Astyanax mexicanus: one gene and its partner. The protein of the gene in region 1 interacts with the protein of each later gene in a biochemical or structural test. Links are inferred from orthologs where the notes say so. Each region holds a gene or a part of one and is shown on either strand. Other genes may lie near its edges.

Region 1 (11,456 bases):
TGCTGCTGCCACTGTTGCTGCCGCTGCCACTGCCTTCATTGTGTGGCTGCTCAGGGCCATCTTTGATTTGCTGAAGGCGGTTCGACAACTCTTCTTCAGTGAGCTCGCCTAATAAAAGAAAAAAAGATATAGACAGTTAAAATATTGATCTTTTTGTGACGGACTCAAAGCAGGGCTTCTCTCACGACTTGTACAGTTTAAGACCAGGTGCTGGTTTTATAGCCGAGGCTGAAGACAGATGAAGCTGAAGTCGCTGCTGAAGCTGAGATGATGTCCGATTCGTGAATTCTCATGCGGCCGAAATAAAATAACAAAACATAATTAAAAAGAGAGAAATTTTAAATCAGCATGAAATCTTTATTTACAAACTCAACACATGGACAATACTAAAAAGTAAAAGTCTACATTTAGTACGCAGGATTATAAACAGCTAAAATGTTGCATATACAGTACTACATACATTCTCTAGCTAGAAGTTAAATAAATAAATAAATAAAAATAAAGATCAATGTAGGCAAGCAAATGTCAAAATTGATCACATCATAAACAGTAATTAATAACTTAATATTCAAAATATACAAAACTGATTATGCGTAATTGCTGGGCCAATAAAAAAAAGCTATTAACCCTGTTTGAAAACTATTATAACTACTACTACTTCTACTACTACTACTAATAATAATTATAATCATAATTATAGTAATAATAAAAAATAATAATAATAAAATACAAATGAAAAATAAATAACCCCCGCCAAACTAGCTCAACAAAAGTTGTTTATTGTGATATTTAGGGATTATTTTTTTAATCATTACAAGACATACAATGTATAAAACCACTATACAGCCTAAACAGACTGAAGTACATGGACCTTTTATTTGATTTATTAAGCCTGTTTTTTAGGACCAAACATTTTTCACTAACTAATTACAGCTCTCAAAACATAAAGTAAAATATACAGAATTTTATGACTGAACATTTTTGAGCTGTTTACCAGCTGCCCAGAGAAACTTGTGAAACAGCAACAGGTCAATACTGAATTCCACCAGACTTACCAGGACAAGAACTGTCCACTCAAAGTCATCTCCTGGCAGCGGCCTCCGCTTAATGATGCTCCAAAATACCTTTCCTTTCCTTTCCACTGTCCCGGGACAGAAACGGATCGGCGTCTTCAGAGGTCCAACTGTTTGGTGTTTTTGTTTTAAAGTACTTAAACAAAATTCAAACCATCCATAAAACGCATAAAACATTTAGCTCCACAAAATCACAAAAACACGTATTTCTCTAAAAGGGGGAATAAACTAGATAAAGAGATAAAGTACTCTGAAAGTAACTGTCCATTACTCTGAGTGCAGCAATATACAGCTCTGGAAAGCAATAAGAGACCACTTGATGATAATGTTTCTCCTAAATTTTATCAAATTTAAAGACATCTGGAATATAATCAAGAGGAAGATGGATGATCACAAACCATCAAACCACCAAACTGAACTGCTTAACTTTTTTGCATCAGGAGTAAAGCAGCATAAAGTTATCCAAAAGCAGTGTGTAAGACTGGTGGAGGAAGAGAACATGATGCCCAAACTGTGATTAAAAACCAGGGTTATTCCACCAAATATTGATTATTTCTGAACTCTTAAAACTTTATGAATATGAACTTGTTTGCTTTGCATTATTTGAGGTCTGAAAGCTCTGCATCTTTTTTGTTATTAATTAATTAATAAATGCTATAAATGACAATATTTTTATTTGGAACTTGGTAGAAATGTTGTCCGTAGTTTATAGAATAAATTATGAAATAAATCAGACAAATTGATTTAGAAACTGAAGTGGTCTCTTCATTTTTTCCAGAGCTGTATGATTAAAAAGTATCCTCTGTATCCATCATCTCAAATAACCGCAATACAGAGAGGTGAACATCTCAAGAAAGCCGTAAGTAATCAATGTGCACAGAGAGGAATGCACAATTAGCCAAGCTGACTGACAGTCAACCTTGCATATTAATTTCTGCATCACCTAGCTAGTTCTATACAGTGGGAAAAGATGGAAAAATAATAAATCGCTGTGAGTCACAAAAGTTCTCCCACCTACAGAGTAACATGCTGCAATGGAAAAAGAAGGTGTTTAATTGCTTAAATCACCTTTTTGGGTCACAAAACAAAACGTATCAAACTTTATAGGACAGCTAACATTAGAAATGATTTAAGCAACAACAAAAACAAGTTTCGTTAACAGAGATAATCATAAATCCAGCTTTATTTTAGTTACCTGGGGTGCCGAGCAGATGGTTGTCTCTCATCAACCTGTAGTCTTCCTCACTCAGGTTGTTCACGAACTGGTAGAAAGCCTCTTCTCTGTCCAGTCTGTCCAGCTGTTGTCTGCGTTGTGAATCGGACTGCTCGCTGCCCCCTTGTTCTGCATTGTCTGAGCTCTCCATGGCTGTTAAAGCCAAAACGACTGTCAGCACCACCTGGAGACAGAGGACCAAAGATTTACAGAGCTTGCAAAGGCACTTGTCGAGAGAAGCACAAAGAGCAGCACGTGTAAAGCTTGTAAACGGTATTTTAAGTTCCTACAAATTAGAAAAGGAAATGAACTCATGATCCCTAAGCTGAAAGCTGTACAAAACACATTACAGTAATTGCTGAGCTTCTGTAGGCCTGCCTGCTCTTTTGTAGGAAGATATAGTTTTAAAACATCATTAATAAATAAATACTAACAAGTGGTGTAACGATACACTCTGTTCGCGATTTGATTTTATAATATATATGATATTTTAAACAGATTTGAATAACAAAAATTACTTATTTTAACTAAACTGTAAAGAATAGGGGTGTAAAGATGCACTAATACTTATATTTTTTCTGAATGTATAAACAATGCGAAATAGACCTTATATAAATGCTCCATGTATAAAATTGTGTATCAGTACTATTACATAGACATAAAATATCATTAATGTTTTTATTCCACTACATTATCCAGCAGATGACATGTCTCTACAAACCATCACTGATCATCAGTAAATGTTACATTTCATTAGTAAATCAAGGGATCAGAGTCTGGAGGAAGAGTAGAGAGACACACAGTCCAAACTGCTCGAGTTCTAGTGTGAAGTTTCCACCAATCAGTGATGGTCTGCAGAGTCATGTCTGTCACCTGCTGGTGTTGATCCACTGTGTTTTATTATCAAGTCTAAAGTCAGTGCAGTTTAGTTTTCACACAAAATCTTACAGCTTCCCTCTGCTGATAACAAATTTTATGGAGATGCAGATTTCATTTTCCAGCAGGACTTGGCACACTGCCCACACTACCAAAAGTACCAGTTGGTCTTATAATATAATATAATATTCAAATTTTCTGAGAGACACTGATTTTTGGGGTTTTTATTGGCTGTAAGCCATAATAATCATCAACGATAAAACAAATAAACGCTTAAAATAGATCACTCTGTGTGTAATACATCTACATAACACATTTTAACTGAATTACTGAAATAAAGTAACTTATTTCCAGCGATATACAGAATAGCACACTATGGACATATATGCATAAGGTATTGCACTGCAAGTGTAAGATAGCTAAAATATAACTGAGAATATATAACATAAATATTACAGTTAACTTACCTACAGTTTGAAAGCTGATTTAGCTAGTTAGCCATATTAGCATTGAGGTTTTGTCACTTGTTTGTCCTCTATGGACTCTTTAAACCGACTGACAATTCGGTAAAGTGTACCTGCAGGACAGATAGTTAGCTATATTTACTATATATGTTTTATAATGTGTTTTAGGATTTAACCAGCTTCAAAAATGGACACTAATTGTGAGGCACTGCGCCAAACGGAGAGAAAACAAAATGGCATCGAGAGAGAAGGCCGACACACAGGCTAATCCAGCCCGATAATGTTAAACTTTAGCTCCATAAAGCAGATTTCCGTCTACATACCGCTAAATAAGCCGAGCAGAGTAGAAAGGCAACCGTTTAAAGAAGATTGTTGATCCAATTAGGCCGGTAGCTAACCTACAAGAACATCTTGTGCCTGTAACGCGGTGTTCCGTCGAATTGTGCTGCTCATCGATATGTGCTTCTGAGCCGCTACGCGCATGCGCTGAACCACAGTGCAACATGTTTTCATGCGTGTGCGAGTGTTATTTTTATGAATAATAATAATTATTATTATATTGTTTTATTCGGGTGCATTTTAGACCACAGCCATTACTGGCTTGTGTGTTAATTAATCGATTAATTATAAAAGTAAATCGGTGGTCAGAATATATAGGTTAATCATAAGAAATATGATTTAATATTATTTACGCTGATATAATTAGAATTAGTGTTTGGGCTATCACAATGAGAGTTTCTTGTCCTTCACATCACATGGGGTAGTTACATGAGGTGGAACGAAATTGTATTCTCGTGGTCCAGTTACACCCAAAAGAGCCATTGTTAAAATAATATAAAATAAAATAAAATGTAATAAAATAGAAAATATCAAGGAGAGTATTAAAAGGAGCATACAGCTCTGGAAAAAAATTGCAGAAAATGAGAAATGTCTGAAACAACAAAAAAGATGCAGAGCTTTCAGATCATATAATGTAAAGAAAACAAATCTCATATTCATAAAGTTTTAAGAGTTCAGAAATCAATATTTGGTGGAATAACCCTGGTTTTTAATCACAATTTTAATGCAAATTGGCATATTCTCCTCCACCAGTCTTGCACACTGCTTTTGGGTCTTGCTCTTGATTAAATTCCAGAGGTTTTCAATTTGGTAAAATCAAAGAAACTCATCATTAAGTGGACTTATTTTTTTTTCTATAGCTGTATCTAGCTATATCCTATACTTGTAATAAAGTAACAGCTAGATTATATTATATTTTATTAATCCCAAATTAAATGTAGGCGTATACTGCTTGATTTGTAATTATAACCGTAACGTTAGCTAGTTTATACATAACGGTGACATGTTTTGACAAGGTAACACAAATCGACAGGACACCGGCCAACGTCATGTAGCTAACTCCGCTAGCCTAGACTAGCAACCCCTCTATTTTAGCTACAGATATGTAACAAACACAATAAATCACTATTTATTTCTGTTGTCACACCATAACGAACACCATAACGTTTAGACAACGTTAACTAGCTAAATATGTAACTATATAAAGACCGTGTTAGTTTTAGTAATTTTGTACGGGGTGGATTACATTATAGCTACAGCTAACGCTAGCTAGCTAACTAGCTAATTAAACCATCTTAGACGTTTCTAAAGGTAGCAGTAAATCCCGGTCCAGAACATTAAAGCTCCGCTCCAGGATTTTGTTCCAACTGTATGCAGCAGTTGAGCAACACAGAGGGCCAATCAGGCAGCTGGAACAAAATCCAGGAGCGGAGTTTTATTGTTATTGTCAAAGGAGAACAGATGGACGTTTTCTAAGAACTGTTGTTAAGAGAGTAAAATTCCACCCAGGGTTTTGTTGGCCGAGCTGTAGTAGAGCCGCCCAGGTAGTTGGTACAAAACCCTGGGTGGATTTTTACTTTCTGGACCTGGGTTACCCACCTCTAGTTGTTAGCCTCGTTAGCTAGCTAAAGGGTTTTTAGCTTTGTACTAGAAACTAGCAAATATTAACTAGCTGTTAGTGAAAGTGAGCTAAATAACAATGGATTCAAATGCTCCTTTAACAGGTTAACTAACACGTTAGTCAGCTATTTTCTGAAATAAAAATAAAACAAAAAAACTTGGCCGTTTTAAGCGCACCAGAACAGTAAAGGTGAAACGCATTTAAAGCAAAGCTTAGCTATAGCTTAGCTTAGCCTTAGCATATTAATCTTGAGCTAACGCTAACGTTACCTTTGTAAACCCGTATCTTTAAAGTGGATTACCGTGACCGGCAGGGTCGTACCTGTTCTAGCTGATCCGCTGATATCCTCTGCTGATCGCCGTGCTGTCCTCCGTAGATATATATTTAATAAAACGTAACCGTGATCTTCTTTATCCAAGTATTATAAACCCGTTCTCCCCACCATTGGTTTCTCAACCCGTCTGTTCTCTACAGCCTTGATTCCGGTCAAAAACAAGGCAAGATAAAAGTCCTACTGAAAACAGGCAAACTGCTCTTAAAATACTTTAAAAATGCATACAAATGCTTCAGAAATGCATCAAAAGGCTGTTAAAAGGCTGTAAAAATGTTAAAAATGCTTAAAAAAAGCAAAATACCTTTTTCATTCTGCGCACACTTGTAAGATTTTCATAACTATATATATATATATATATATATATATATATATATATATATATATATATATATATATATATATATATATATATGCTCGGGCAAGAATTAATAAGAATTATTTATTTTATATATATATCAGCTTATTAAAGCTTTATATTATTTTACACCTGTTAATTAGCTAGTTAAACTGTGCTACAATTTGTAATAAAAGTCCTACTGAAAACAGGCAAACTGCTCTTAAAATACTTCAAAAATGCATAAAAATGCTCCAAAATGCTGTTAAAAGGCTGTAAAAATGTTAAAAATGCTTAAAAAAAAAGCTAAATACTTTTTTTTATTTTGCGCACACTTGTAAGATTTTCATAACTATATATATAGTTAATTATATATAATTGCTCGGGCAAGAATTATTAAGAATTATTTATTTTATTTTAACTATATATATATATATATATATATATATATATATATATATATAATAAGCTCATTAAAGCTTTATATTATTTTACACCTGTTAATTAGCTAGTTAAACTGTGCTACAATTTGTAATAAATGTGCTAGATTTTTATATAAATAAAGGAACAGTTTTATAAATGTTCAACTCTTCTTGTCAGCTAAAGTAGATATGATAGTTATGATGTAACTGATCGGCAAAATCAGATATTCTTCCGACCGATATTATAGATCATTACCTTTATTAATTATTGATTGTGCCAAATAAATGAATGAGACCCTGAATAAATAGGAAATAAGCTTATAGTCTATTATATATATAATATATATATAATTTTATTCTGTACGTATTTTTAAGATTTTGATAACTGAAATGTATATTAAGCGCTCACTCACATAACCCTATATTTAAGAGCCTGTTTTATATAGTTTTATAAAAGTTCAAATATTCTTCTTAGCTAAAATAGACGAGAATCGGCAAAATCAGATATTGTTCCGACATTATCATTACCTAATATATAAGGTTAATATCTAAGGTAAGGTAAAAAAAAAAAAGAAAAGAAAAAAAAAAATATATATATATATATATATATATATGTGTGTTTCTTAGACAGGGATTAGACCTATATATATTCAGAATGCTGTGGCTCAAGACTAGGCATAATCCCTGTCTGGAAAACTGGAGCTATGTGTTATGTGTTCATAATCTTGATATCAGTTTTATCTGGTTTTAGACCCTTTATTTTACTTACTAATCAGGTAGTCCATTCAGGTAAAATCAGTTGCTTATGTATGCTACATTTTCACTTACTTTCAATAATAAATAAATAAATTAGTATGTATATTTTCTCATTATCTGTGGTGGTTTGGTGTTTAGAGCACTGGGTTATTATATATTGATCAGAGTTGTAGGATCAATACCCACAGCCCTGCTGATGTGCTGCTGCTGGAACTTTATCACCCCCTTCTGGAGCACTGTATTATAGCTTACCCTGTGCTTTTACTTTACCATCTGGGATACACTAGTGCATCTCAAAACATTAGAATATCATTGAAAAGTTATTACTTTATTTCAGTAATTCAGTTCACAATGTGAAACTCATATATTATATAGATGTATTAAACACAGAGTGATCTATTTTAAGCGTTTTTTTATTGTTGATGATTATTGTTGATTATGGCTTACAGCCAATGAAAACCCAAAAATCAGTATCTCAGAAAATGAGAATATTATATAAGACCGATTGGTACTTTTGGCTGTGTGGGCAGTGTGCCAAGTCCTGCTGGAAAATAAAATCCGCATCTCCATAAAAGTTGTCAGTAGCAGAGGGAAGCATGAAGTGTTGTAAATTTTGTGGGAAAACAAAACTGCACTGACTTTAGACTTGATAATAAAACACAGTGGATCAACACCAGCAGATGACAGACATGACTGTCCAAACCATCACTGATCATCAGTAAATTTACATTTATTCATTTCATTAGTAAATCAAGGGAGCAGAGTCTGGAGGAAGAGTGGAGAGACACACAGTCCAAACTGCTCGAGGTCCAGTGTGAAGTTTCCACCAATCAGTGATGTATAATTATACCATATTCATTTTTCTGGCTTGTTGTAATAAAACATGGTATTTAAACATTGTAAACTAGTTTCAAAATATAGTATATTTGTTTACTCCTAAGTCCAAAACACCTCCCCAATGCATTTAAAGTGAAGTTTTGAATCAGTAAAACAGTAGGAGAAACAGTGACAGAACAAAACTGACAATTTCCAAAAGCAGCATTCAAAATCTCATTTTAATTTGTATATTTACTCCATAAACATTATTACAAAACTCAGCAAATTACCAATATTACATTATCACCATACAGGCGGGTTCACAAATATTTAAAACCTTTGCAACAGTTACAACATAAACAAAATAATACTAGAATAATTTACATGAAAAATCTATAAAACAGCAAGTAGTTCACAAATTTAATGTTTTTTTTTTCATCATTTTTCTTTGTTTGCCTATTTGTGTTTTCCACATGAACACAGTACTCCCACAACAAGGTCAATTTTCTCGTACAAAACTCCCAACAAAAATGTAGATTTTTTTTTTTGTGTTACTTAATGGTTTGGTTTTTAAAACCAGAAACTTTTTCATTATACATCCTTTTCACTGCCTACAGAGGCGCAAAAAAGGTTACTCACACACACTAATACTTCACAGCACTTTCTAAGAAAAATATACACTTACAAAATATGTTACAAATTGGCACAGAGAAAAATATACAGTAATTTTTTGTCTTGTCAAGAGTTCATTAAGAATCCCTCTGGTATCAACTCTAGACAATATTTATAAAGCTCAATACTCTTTTCAACAAAAAAAGCAAAAAGTAATAATCCCAATTAATGTCAAAGAATTATGGTGTGAATACATCAAACATAACCATATATTATACATTCATAAAGAGAGGATTAGGGCTTTGTGTTTCTATATTTTCTCTTTTTTTCCTTTCCATTTTTTTGTCATATCTGGGAAAGAAGAACAAAACAAAAAAAAAAGAAAAATTTGCTTTCTTAGCACCAGTAAGAGGAGGCAGCTCAACAGTGGCACACTGTACAAATCTTGTAGAAGTACATTCAATCGAAAATAGGCAGAAACGAGAAGGCAGGCAGGTGAGCGTGACGCCCGTGTGCAGTTTCCCCATCGCCAGCGTGTCCGGGTCCTTTAACACGGAGAGCTGGACACAACAGAGAGAGGCAGAAGAATACAGGGCAAAACTATGATAAGTTAACATTCGGGAGCAAAGAGTGAACGCACCCGCGGCATCACACCTCCCTCAGCTTTTATTTTATTATTCTATTATTTCTCTTAAAATATGTTCCAGAATAGTTTAAAATCATTTTCTTTTAATTTTGAGAAAATATGTTTTTATATCAGCAAGTCATAGACTGTTATAATCAGATTAACGTCTTAATAATCAATACACATGATGAATCTACTACAACAGGGTGTCTGGTGGAGGTTAGATTTTCTGCCCGAGTCTGAGCTGATGCCCGAAATCGGACCGGGCTCAAGAAAATGTATTTTTAATGCTATTTTATTTTACACAAAGCTATATATAGACTATATATAGCATTATATATATATATATATATATATATATGGGTTTTTAGCACTTAATCTATATGATTAAAAAATTATAATAATAATTTGTCCAGAAAATATTTTATATACTTAAACCATGTTAAATTATATTGGATTAGAGTAAAAATCATTGTAAATGATGTTATGTTTTTGGACATAGACTATAAGCTCAATATAAAACAGTTTGTTTGTTTAGAAAGTATTTTATATTCTTAAACCATGTTAAATTATATTAGATTAGAAAAAAAAAGTAATTCAGACATCATCCTTTTAGCCTAATTTACCGATGTTTAGGCCTGTGGGTCATTGTTCGCATCGTCTGTGTTTTAATGTTTCGTAGATCTGTTCTTAATAATTATTTACCTTTAATAATAGGTCTATGCTTCTTCAGTGTTGCAATGTTAACTAACATCATTCTGAACAGATTTCACTCATTTAAACAGCCCAAAAATGTTTGTAAAAAGCTCAGTTTTAACGCTCTACTTACTAAAAATAATGTGGGGTTTAAATCAGGCTTGGGCTCAAAATTATAGTTTATTTGATGGGTTTGGGTCGGGCTCGGGCAGAACGTGTATGGACTCGGCCGGATTTTTTTTTGGCATTCTGATGATGGAGATCACCAAAGGGCTGCATTAAATTCCAGAATTTACCAGAATTATGGCTTCTGTTGTTCTGTTAAGTTCTTGTTAGATGCAAAGAACCTCTGGACTTTGTCGAGGTTGTAGTTCACTCATTCACTCACACACTTATTCAGTCATTTATTCATTCATTCATGGCGGTTAGACTGTAGATTCTCCACAAGGGGGTGCTATTAGCAATCAAATAGCTTCTGGTGCTTTGCATCAGTGACACTGCGTGCTCCTGTTTGGTCTTTATCTTATATACTTTCCCATAATCATGCTCATGACAGTGCTTACCATCTGACGCCAGATGCTGTTCTCTATCCAGAACGAACACTGTCCGTATCTTCTCCCGTGCTTTTCTTTAAGACGCGTCTCCATTCGTTCGTCTTTTTTAATCTCAAAGCCAAGTTATTCTGAGGTAAACTGAATTTGGCGAGGAGGTGGAAAAAGGAGGAGGAAAGTTCAGAGCGAGAGTTGTTTTGGTTATATGAGTGGTGTTATGTACCACTGTCAGCTGCAGGGTGCTCTTCACCGTATAGAGTCCCAAAAGAAAAGTGTGGGGTGGCGGGAGGGGGATCCAGAACGTCAACTCGTGCAGAGTCTCAAAAGAAAACGGCCATAATGCCATAATAGGGATTCATAGTGATGCTAAAAAGAAACAGCAAGTTTTCAGTATTCATTAATAATAATTTTGCACAGTTTACATTTGGCACACTGATTTTCAGAATTCATGTTTTCATTAAATAGTGCATTTTTTTATACAGGGACACTGCCAAAAAAGGAAAAGAAAAGAGAAAAGAAGAGTGAAGCATTTTGGATTTCCATGGCTTAGAACTGTCCCTCTAAGATAAGTTCCAGTAAAACTCCTGTAAAAGCATAGTAAAAGCATAGGAAGAAAATTATAACTTTTATAACATTCCATACGTAAGAAAAAAAGGACAATACGTTTAATCTGATATGTCTTCAATACAAAAAACGGTCCCGTTATGTGCTTTATATATATTGA
Region 2 (11,454 bases), on another chromosome or scaffold:
GTCTACACGCAAAGGTCTACACGCCGTTTTAGGCCCTAACTAACTAAAATTAATTTGTACAGGAAGAACAGGAAAGGAACCTTCAGGGAAAGAAACGTTATGCAATGTTTATTGCGAAAATATAAATTCCAGCAAACGCGTATTTTGTGCACAACTTTACGGCCTTTTTTGTGCAAAAAAAAAAAAACTAAACAACAAAAAAAAAAAACAAAGCGCGTGGCGTGCTCTTTAATATTTATCACCAATGCTCCGTTCTCCCGCAGGAGCAGCAGGTGCACCGCGCGCGCTCAGAAACTTGACACTTCAACTCTCCTCCTCGCGCGGTGCATGGAAAACATGGAAACGAATCTCATCGCACAGAGCTCTTACAAGCATACTCTTTTATCTGGAGATAAAAGGGGAAGACTACACTGTAAAAAATGATGTGCTGGTTTTACTTAAAAATATAGTGCAACGTTTTTGCAAGCTTGTTTTTAAGTGTTACCCACAAATCTTTTTTGATAACTTTTAATTAAAATATTAAACTGATATTACTTAATAATTTGCTTGCAAAAATGTTGCACTATGTTTTTACGTAAACCCATAGAAACATTTTTCGTCATTTTTACAAAAAAAATTACAGTGAAATTACTTAAAAATAAGGTTGCAAAAATGTTGCACCATATTTTTACGTAGAACCAACAAATATTTTTTAGTCATTTTTAACTAAAATCTTAAACTGACATTACTTAATAATAAGGTTGCAAAAATGTTGCACCATATTTTTACGTAGAACCAACAAATATTTTTTTACTAATTTTTAACAAAAATCTTAAACTGGCAATACTTAATAATACGTTTGCAAAAATGTTGCACCATATTCTTAAATAAAACTAAGAAAAGTTTTTTTGTCCTTTTTTCAAAAAGTCTTAATACTGACAGTACAAAAAAAATCACTTTACGCCTTCACATAAAAAAATGTCTTTGTCCAGTGAATAAACTTAATATTAACTTAACTTAATATTGTAAGATGAACATGAGCAAGACAGCAGGTTGAGCAGCTGAACATTAAATATTTAAAAGCAGTTAAAAAAAAGTCTTAGACCATTTCAAATGAACTCCATTTTTTTTTAACAAACAGTCTGTAATTATAGAAATACATGTGTTTTATGCTCATCTGCAAAAACTCTGTAAAACAGTGTAGAAACAAAAATAATATTTTATCCCTTTGTCTCCCTAACCTGCAGGCCAATTACTGAAAAAAAAGCATTTTTACAGTCAGTTGAAATAAGTAGATCAGAAAGGTGTTTGTACATAACTTTTTATATTTATTGCACATCAGAATAGAGCAGAATAAAATCCTTTAAAAAAAACATTTTTTTATATAAAAAAAAGCAAAAGCAAAAAGTAAACAGTTACAGAGAGTGTCACAGGTGTGCTTCGGCACACGTGTAAAAACACTGGCTCTGATTGGCTACCACCTCTGTCCCGCATAACTCGCCACCTGATTGGCTGACCCCAGACCTCTTTTTTTTCTCAGGCTGAAGCCCATGGAAACGCGCATGCGCAGTTTATCGCTGTAGAACAAAGAGAAACTCCTAAAATAAACCGTTAAAGTTGATAATATTTTTTTCTAAAAGCAGTGCTCGGATATGAGGATTACTGGAGACTGGACTGATGGATGTTGAGATGTTTGGAGGGGTTCTGAAGCCCGGACTCTGAGGTACGCGCTGATATTCTCTGTTTGCGTGTGAGGGGTGTCCTGTAGTAACCCCAGGCGGATCAAAGAGCGTGTTCACAGACCGAACCGTCTAACGCACTCTTATTCAGGAACCGTACATCCGACAGTAAAACGGTTTGCAGCTCCGTAATCCTGAGAGTCAGCAGGCTGTCATTGATATATTGAGCCTGTAATTATTCATAAACACAGCCAGATATTAATTATTATATTTATCTGGCCCGCCGTCGGGCCAGGGCGTGTTAAGAGCGTGTCAAGTTCAACAGGTGTTACACCGAGAACTGTCACCTGTTTAGACCTGGAGTCACAGATCTCTATAGGTCACAGTTCATGGTGAAACACCTGTTACTACTCACTAGCCTGGGCAGGGGTCCGCTCGAATTACTGTTATTATATCATTATATAGTAACGCACTGCTTTTAATCACCAGTAACGTCAACGGCGTTGTAACGACAGGAAAAGTAATTAATTATTTTATCCCGTTACTGACAAAATTACGTCGTTACCTAACGCCGTTACTTATAACGCTGTTATTCCCAACACTGATAATTATAGAACTAAGTGCACCAAGCTGCTCAGTGAAAAGGAGAATGTAAAAAAGGGGTTGAAGTGACCAATCATTGTAGCTAACATGCGTTAGCCTTATAGCACGCGAACAATACTTTGATTAGCCAGCTAGACCGACTCTGATCTGGCGTTACTCACCGGGGTCTCTAATGCGGTGCACGCTAACGCGGTGTAAGCATTATAGCACGCTAACGCTGTGTTAGCATTACAGCACGCTAACGCTGTGTTAGCATTACAGCACGCTAACGCGGTGTTAGCATTACGGCACGCTAAAAATAAGTTGATTAAGCCAGCTAGACCGACTCTGGTCTACTCACCGGGGTCGCTAATGCGGTGTTAGCATGACGGCCCAGCCCGGTTTGTACGCGCCCAGTGCCGGATTAGCCACCCGGGTAGTTAGCCTACGTGCTAGCTAGCTACATTTGCCCTTTCTTTCGGTTTGATGCTTGCCTATAGCTGCAGGCCAACATAGTTCACTGAAGCACCGTGTTTCTAAAACGAACTTAAACTACACAGATAACTCACAACTGTAAATATCTCAAAAATAATCAGTCACTGTGCTCTTACCCATGCAGTCCATGCTCGCTGCCTTCCAAAAGTTCTTCATCAGTGGAGATAAGTACTTGTATCAGTGCCTCGTGGTCTCCCAAGCAGCCTTAAAATATTTAGTTAGGCGTAACAAAATCTTAACATAATACACACTAAAACTATTGGGTTGTACTTATTTTTGTAATTAAGCAAAGTTCGAAAAGTATAATTTTAGGTAAAATCTTCTCATTATAATGAGCAAACATCACTGGGCTCAAATCATGTTGATTTTACTCAAATATTCATGCAATATTTCTCCAAATTTCTAAACAAAATAAACACACAAAATATTGGGTTGTACATACTGTTTTAATTAAGCATAGTTCAAAAAGTATAATTTTAGGTAAAATCTTCTCATATTAATGAGCAAAGTTTACTGGGCTCAAGAATCGTTTTTTGCAGTGTACTGATGAAGATCCATCAAGTCGTACTGCGCGCCGATTCGAAGATCAGACACGTCAAAGCGCCATAAGTGCTTCGAAAGTGAGCGAAAAGCTCGGATAAAGGACTGTATCGGTTTAGTAGAAAGCCTGCGGGTAACAGGTGCGTAACGCGCGATCGCACAGCGGGACACCTGCACCCGCGCTTTAACGGTTCGGTGCGAAGCGTTTTCGGCTTCATTAAAGCGTCTGTTTTATCCGTTAAACATTTATGCCACCGAATAATCGACTATAATTAAACAATAACCAAACAAAGAATACTTAGACATTCTAATAAATGTAAAAAGTTAACTCTATCCAGTTTGTAACACTACGGTTATTTGTAAGAGGAATCAAGATGATTTAAACTGCGATTAATCGTGATTCATTGAGAATATTTTCAGCAAATATATTAAATGACAGAATATTAAGTTTTGCAATAGATTGACACCACTATAAAACACAATATGCACCACACTTTATAGTGCACCCCGCGTCCACTCCGCTCTCTCTCTCACACACACACACACACACACACACACACATACACACTCCTCACACGCTCTTATAGCGTCAATTCTATAAAATCTTCCATGCGCATAATTTTGCACGAAAAAAAATGACCGATATTTCTAACAAAACCTAAAATATTCGTAAAAGTTTACTTCCTCAGTTTGTAACACTACACATTTTTTGTTTTTCGTTTTGTTTTGTTCTTTCAATCAAAAAATATAAGCAAGTATGCGCATTTTAAGCGCAATTAATCGTGATTAATCATGAGCTATCGCTGCCGAATATCAAATCACTAATATATATTAAATCAATATTAACACAAACTTTTTAATCGACTGGCACGAATTAACATAATATACTACGCACTCCTCTCACACACACTCCACACACACACACACTCTCTCTGTCTGCCGTTAGTTCTATAGGCACTTCAATGCGCAACAAATTGGCGCGTGCAACCTTGTTTTTTCCGCATAGAAAAGATAAAAAAAAAAAAAAAACATGTGCGCTTACCTTGGCTCGCGCTGTACCTGGAGTAATTTCCCGCGTTCTGGCAACTCGATCCGGGATGCTCGAGCAACATTTTGGTGGCAAATATGTCACAAAGAAATAAATAAAACAAATAAGTAAATAAATAAATAAATAAAGTAGCAAAAAAAATCGGTCACTCTGAATCCAAAGCGCTCGCGACGTGCACAAGATAACGAGATGACACCCCTTATGACACACCGAACACTCCTCGAGCTCTGTGTAAAAACGTAAGTGTAAGTGCGAGAGTGTGTGTGCGCGCTGGAAGTTTTGCAAATGGCACGAGCTCCGGCTGCGCGCTCGTGTTTGTGCAAGGAAAAAAAAAAAAGCAGCAGGAGGAGGAGGATCGTGCGTGCGCGCGCGCGTCTGCTGATGATGCTTCTGCGGCTGCAAGAGGTTACACCGTGTATGTGTGTGTGTTTGTGTGTGCGCGCGTGAGTGTGTGTGCGCGTTGTGTCTCGCGCGCGACAGGCGTGTGTCCCTGTCCACGGTGCTGAAGGGGAGTTTTGTGGAGGCGCGTGCTGCAGACGTTAACAACCCCCCCATAGCCCATCACCCCCCACCCCATACATATATGCACCCACCCCACTGCTGTTGCACGTGCCCATCATTCATCCCAGTATAATGTCCCGACTGGGCGTGGCGTCATTGCGTCACAATCTGCCACTGGTTTGTTTTGTTTTTGCTGTTAAAAAAAATGAGAGAATGTGTATAACCTTAAAACTATATAACATTACAATTAACCAAACATCTGAATACATATAAGGTCAGTGGTTCAGTGTGAATGTCTACCTGTAATGAGCTCAACATAAGCTTAAAATAATGTCTACATGTAATTAACTCTACATAACATTAAAATAGTATCTACGAGGAATTAAATATATATAAAATTAAAATAGCTTATACCTGTAATTAACTATATATTACTCTATATAACATTAGAACATTGTCTACATCTAAACAACATTAGAATGAACCCAAATTACATCTGTAATTAACTCTATATAACGTATATAAATCAAAATGAACATGAGGTTAGTGTTCAGTGAGAATGTCTATCTGTAATTAAGTCTATATAACATCAGAATAGTGTATACACTTAATTACTACACGAGAGTGAACCCAAATTCTAGCTGTAATTAACTCTATATAACATTAGAATAAACGCAAATAAATGGGGTCAGTGTTCAGTGAGAATGTCTATCTGTAATTAAGTCCATAAAACATTAGAATAAACTGAGATAAGCATGAGGTCAGTGTTCTGGGAGAATGTCTACCTGTAATTAGTCTATATAACATTAGAATAGTGTCTACATGTAATTAACTCTATATAATATTAAAATGGTGTCTATTAACTCAACATAACATTAAAATAGTATCTACCAACAATTAACTCTATATAACATTAGTATAGTGTGTACCTGTCATTAAATATATATAGCATTAGTATAGAACAACATAAGAATGAACCCAAATTCTATCTGTAATTAACTCTATATAACATTAGAATAAACCGAAATAAACATGAGGTCAGTGTTCAGGGAGAATGTCTAATTGTAATTAAGTCTATATAACATTAGGAGAGTACCAACCTGTAACTAACACTATATGACATTAAAATAGTGTATACCTGTAATTAACTCTATACAACATTAAAATAGTGTCTACATTTAAATACCCTGTATAACATTAGAAAAGTGTATACCTGTAATGAACTCTATATAACATTTAAACAGTGTCTACATTTAAACACCCTGTATAACATTAGAGTAGTGTATACCTATAATGAACTCTATATAACTTTAGAATAGTGTGCCTGCAATTTCCTTTATAGAACCAAAAAAAAAATGTCTACCTGTAATTAACTCTATATAACATAAAAACACATAATAAAGGTGATATATTTTTGTTGGACCGCTACAATGTATTAGCATATAAAATACAAATAAAGGACTAAAATATTACTGAAGCCACCAGTATATTATTCAGTTTAGAATATAGAATTGATTTTGTTTTTGCATTTTTTGTTATTTTATTTATCTTAATTTGTATTTTTTATTTTATTTTTAAATATTAATTCACATACAGTTCTATCTATCTATCTATCTATCTATCTATCTATCTATCTATCTATCTATCTATCTATCTATCTATCTATCTATCTATCTATCTATCTATCTATCTCATTATAACATTGTAATAATGACAATAACAATGAAAGAGATGCTCTCTCTCTCTCTGTCTCTCTCTCTCTGTGTCTGTCTCTCTCTCTCTCTCTCTCTCTCTGTTGTTTGCTGTGTAAATCCTGTCAGTAAGTCAGAGTCTGATCTCTTTATTCAGATTAGAATCCGACAGTCTTAAAGGAGCTTTAGAACAAACACAACAATACAGCCAGAGCCCATCTCCCATCTTCACTGTCTGTCTGTTTTGTTTGTTTGTTTGTTTATTTGATTGTTTGTTCGTTTTTTTTGTTTGTTTGTTTTTTTAGAGAGATTTTTGTATTTTATTTGTCAGGGTTGTTTGGCTCACAATAATACAGTATTCCTGTAACACAAGGTTATTATTATTATTATTATTATTATTATTATTATTATTATTATTATTATTATTATTATTATTATTATTATTATTATTGTATTTGTAGACGTATTCCCATCTCTTTCCTCTTTCCCTCTTTCACTTTCTCAACCTCTCACTCTGTCTTTCTCTTTCTTTCTTCCTATAACCCCTCTTTTCTCTCTCTCTCTTTTTACTTTCTCTGTGTTTCTCTCTGCCTTTTCCCTCTAACTGTATATTTCTTCTCTTTACTGTCGATTTCTCTTCCTGCCCCTGGGTCTTTATTTCTTTCTTTCTCTCACTCTACCTCTCTCTTTCCCTTTTCTCCTCCCTCCTTTCTTTTTCTTTCTTTCTCTTATTTTAGAATAGTGCATACCTGTATTTAACTCTAACATTAGAATAGTGTCTACCTGTAATTAACTCTATATAACATTAGAATAATGCATAACTGAAATGAACTCTATATAACATTAGAATAGTGCATACCTGTAATTAACTTTATATATTACATTAGTGCATACCTGTAAATAACTCTATATAACATTTGAATAGTGCATACCTGTAATTAAGTATATATAACATTAGAATAGTGCATAACTGTAATTAACCTTACATATAACATTAGAATAGTGCATACCTGTAATTAACTATATATAACATTAGAATAGTGCATACCTGTAATTAACTCTATATATAACATTAGAATAGTGCATACCTGTAATTAACTATATATAATATTAGAATAGTGCATACCTTTAATTAACTCTATATATAATGTTAAAATAGTGCATACCTGTAATTAACTATATATAACATTAGAATAGTGCATACCTGTAATTAACTATATATAACATTAGAATAGTGCATATCTGTAATTAACTATATATAACATTAGAATAGTGCATACCTGTAATTAACTATATATAACATTATAATAGTGCATACCTGTAATTAACTCTATATATTACATTAGAATAGTGCATACCTGTAATTAACTATATATAATATTATAATAGTGCATACCTGCAATTAACCTTACATATAACATTAGAATAGTGCATACCTGTAATTAACTATATATAACATTAGAATAGTGCATACCTGTAATTAACTCTATATATAACATTAGAATAGTGCATACCTGTAATTAACTATATATAATATTAGAATAGTGCATACCTTTAATTAACTCTATATATAATGTTAAAATAGTGCATACCTGTAATTAACTATATATAACATTAGAATAGTGCATACCTGTAATTAACTATATATAACATTAGAATAGTGCATATCTGTAATTAACTATATATAACATTAGAATAGTGCATACCTGTAATTAACTATATATAACATTATAATAGTGCATACCTGTAATTAACTCTATATATTACATTAGAATAGTGCATACCTGTAATTAACTATATATAACATTAGAATAGTGCATACCTGTAATTAAGTATATATAACATTATAATAGTGCATATCTGTAATTAACTATATATAACATTAGAATAGTGCATATCTGTAATTAACTATATATAACATTAGAATAGTGCATACCCGTAATTAACTATATATAACATTAGAATAGTGCATACCCGTAATTAACTATATATAACATTATAATAGTGTTAACACCATATAACATTAGAATAGTGTCTTACTCTCTCAACCTCTCACTTTCTCTTTCTCTCTCTTCTTACCCCCTCTTTCTCTCTCTCTCTCTCACACTCTCTCTTTCCTCTATCACGTCTTACTCTCTCTTTCTTTATCTCTGCTTTTTCTCTCAGACTATATTTATTTGCTTTACTGACAATTTCTCTACCTGCCCCTGGGTTTTTGTTTCTTTTTCTTTCTCTCACTCTACCTGTCTCTCTTTCTCCTTTCTTTGGCCCATGCTCTCTCTCTCTCTCTCTCTCTCTCTCTCTCTCTCTCTCTCTCTCTCTTATTTCACTCTTTCTATTGCTGTTTTCAGTTCAGTAGGCTTTATTGATATAACCATATTTAAAACAAACAGTATTACCAAAGCACCATCAAAACAATAACAACACAGGTTATATCACAGTTAGTTCCGACCCTGCATTGTGATTGGCGTTCTATAAGGGAAGTCTTTATAGATATTACAATATATCTATATAGTATATCAATAAAAATAGCAATGATATAACGTAGCATGGAAGATTATACCTTTATGTCTATGTTACCTTCTGGCCATCTCCTTTGAGTTAGAGTGTAGAAAAAATACATTCTATGTTTTAGGAGAATAAAAATAGCAATAGCTACTATAAAGTAGAATGAAAGATTATGTCTATATACATTTATATAATATAAGAAATAAATAGAAACTTGTGCTTTTCACTATATCTACTCTATCTCTCAGTGTACTCTCTCTCTTTTTCTCTCTCTGTCTCTGATCCTCTCTTCATTTGTGTAGATTGGTGAAGTGTTAGCACACCTGAGACCCCCACTCCACTGTTCCATCTCAATCAGGCCTTAAATGCCTTCAACAAAGGCCAGGCTGTACACGACACACACACACACACACACACACACACACACACCGAAACAACGGAGCATCCTCTCGCGGCCGAGAGACCCTCCACACTTCCGGCTTTTGTGCTGAGGGTCCGGCAGATCAAACCGCTGCATTATCCTGGAGGAGCGTTCCCACTTTTTTAAATGACTCTGAGTTTAAGTGCTATGAATATTAATGTTTGAGTGGGCTGAGTGTGTGTGTGTGTGTGTGTGTGTGTGTGTGTGTGTGTGTGTGTGGGAGGATGACTCTGGTGGGGGTTGGTGGTGGTCTGGTTTTTATTCTCAGTGGAATCTGTAGTATTCCTAAGGCAGATACTGTTTATGTCTACATGAATAATAAACAATTAAATAATTGTTTAGTCTCTGATAGTTCATTATCCAGCTAATTAACCATAACTATCCAATCAGAGGCTAACAAGCCACATGTTTATGGATTACAGGGACCAATCAGAAGTAATAATCAAGTAATAACAATCAAAGGCTAACCAATCATGTACTAATCAATCGGTGGCTAATAGAGACTATCAACAGACTATCATACAGAGGCAATCAAGTCACAGGATAACCAATCAGAGACTACCCAACCAGAGGTTAACTAGTCAAAGGTGAACCAACCATAATCCATAAATGCTTAATCTCTGATTGGTTGGTTAGTTTCAGACTGGTTAATCTATGGTTGGTCAGTCTCAGGTTATATTATGGTTCATTAATCTCTGATTCAATTTGGTTAATCTATGATTGGTAAGCCTTTGGTTGGTTAGTGTATGGTTGGTTTGTCTCTGCTTAGTCTCCGATTGGTTAGCCTTTAATTGGTTAGTGTATGGTTGGATAATCTCTGCTTAGTCTCTGATTGGTTAGTCTTTAATTGGTTAGTGTATGGTTGGTTTGTCTCTGCTTAGTCTCTGATTGGTTAGCCTTTGGTTTGTATATCTCTTATTGGTTAATCTTTGATTGGTTAGCCCTAAATTGGTTATATTATGGTTGGTTAGCCTCTGATTGTTTAGTCTTTGGTTGGTAAAAGTCTGGGTAGTCTGGGATCAAATAGTTGGTTTCTTAGCCTTAAACTGGTTGTTATGATTGGTTAGTATCTGGTTAGATGCTGATTGGTTATTATTCTGGTATAGTTATCCTTTAATTGGAAAGTTTATGGTTGGTTAGTCTCTGGTTAGCCTCTGGTTGGTTAGCCTTTAATTTGTTAGTTTATGGTTGATTTGTCTCTGGTAAGTCTCAGATTGGTTACTCTTTGGTTGGTTAATCTCTGGTTAGTGTCTGATTGGTTAGCCTTTGGTTTGTTATTCTTTAATTGGATAGTTTTTTCTGTAGTTGGTTAGCCATAAATTGGTTATGTTATGGTTAGTCTCTGATTGGTTAGTTTTTGATTGGTTAATATCTGGGTAGTCTGTGATTGGTTAGTCTTTGGTTTCTTAGCCTTAAATTGGTCAGTTTATTTTTAGTTTGTCTCTGGTTATTCTCTGATTGGATAGCCTTTAATTGGTTAGTGTATGGTTAGATAATCTCTGCTTAGTCTCTGACTGTTTAGTATATGTTTAGTTGGTCTCGGGGTAGTCTGTGATTGGGTAATCTTTGGTTGGTTAGCCTTAAATAGGTTATGTTATGGTTGGTTAGTCTCTGATTGGTTAGTTTTTGATTGGTTAATCTCTAGGTAGTCTGTGATTGGTTAGTCTTTGGGTTCTTAGCCTTAAATTAGTTAGTTAGTTAGTTTATTTTTAGTTTGTCTCTGGTTATTTTCTGATTGGATAATATTTGGTTGGTTAGCCTTTAAATAGTTAGTGTATGGTTGGATAATCTCTGCTAAGTCTCTGGTTGGTTAGTCTTTGGTTAGTTAGTCTCTGGTCAGCCTTTGGTTGATTAGCCTTTAATTGTATAGTTTATGGTTGGATAATCTTTGATTAGTCTCTGATTGGTTAGTCTTTGGTTGGTTAGCCTTAAATTGGTTATGTTATGGTTGGTTAGTGACTGATTGGTTAGACTTTCGTTGGTTATTCTCTGGGTAGTCTGTGATTGGTT

What was found.
Region 2: the proteins of rlim (region 1) and lhx3 form a complex in vitro, tested with the Homo sapiens proteins (2 studies listed by BioGRID). The link is inferred for Astyanax mexicanus from reciprocal best matches to the Homo sapiens genes RLIM and LHX3.

The regions. Positions count from the first base shown.
Region 1 is NC_064417.1:1,610,050-1,621,505, reverse strand, and holds the start of rlim (E3 ubiquitin-protein ligase RLIM), read right to left. Parts: upstream 6,081-11,456; 5' UTR 5,908-6,080; intron 4,099-5,907; exon of another isoform or gene 3,950-4,098; intron 2,471-3,949; 5' UTR 2,438-2,470; coding exon 2,269-2,437; intron 109-2,268; coding exon 1-108. UniProt on the Homo sapiens protein: E3 ubiquitin-protein ligase.
Region 2 is NC_064408.1:4,061,367-4,072,820, forward strand, and holds the start of lhx3 (LIM/homeobox protein Lhx3), read right to left. Parts: upstream 4,846-11,454; 5' UTR 4,388-4,845; coding exon 4,318-4,387; intron 1-4,317. UniProt on the Homo sapiens protein: Transcription factor.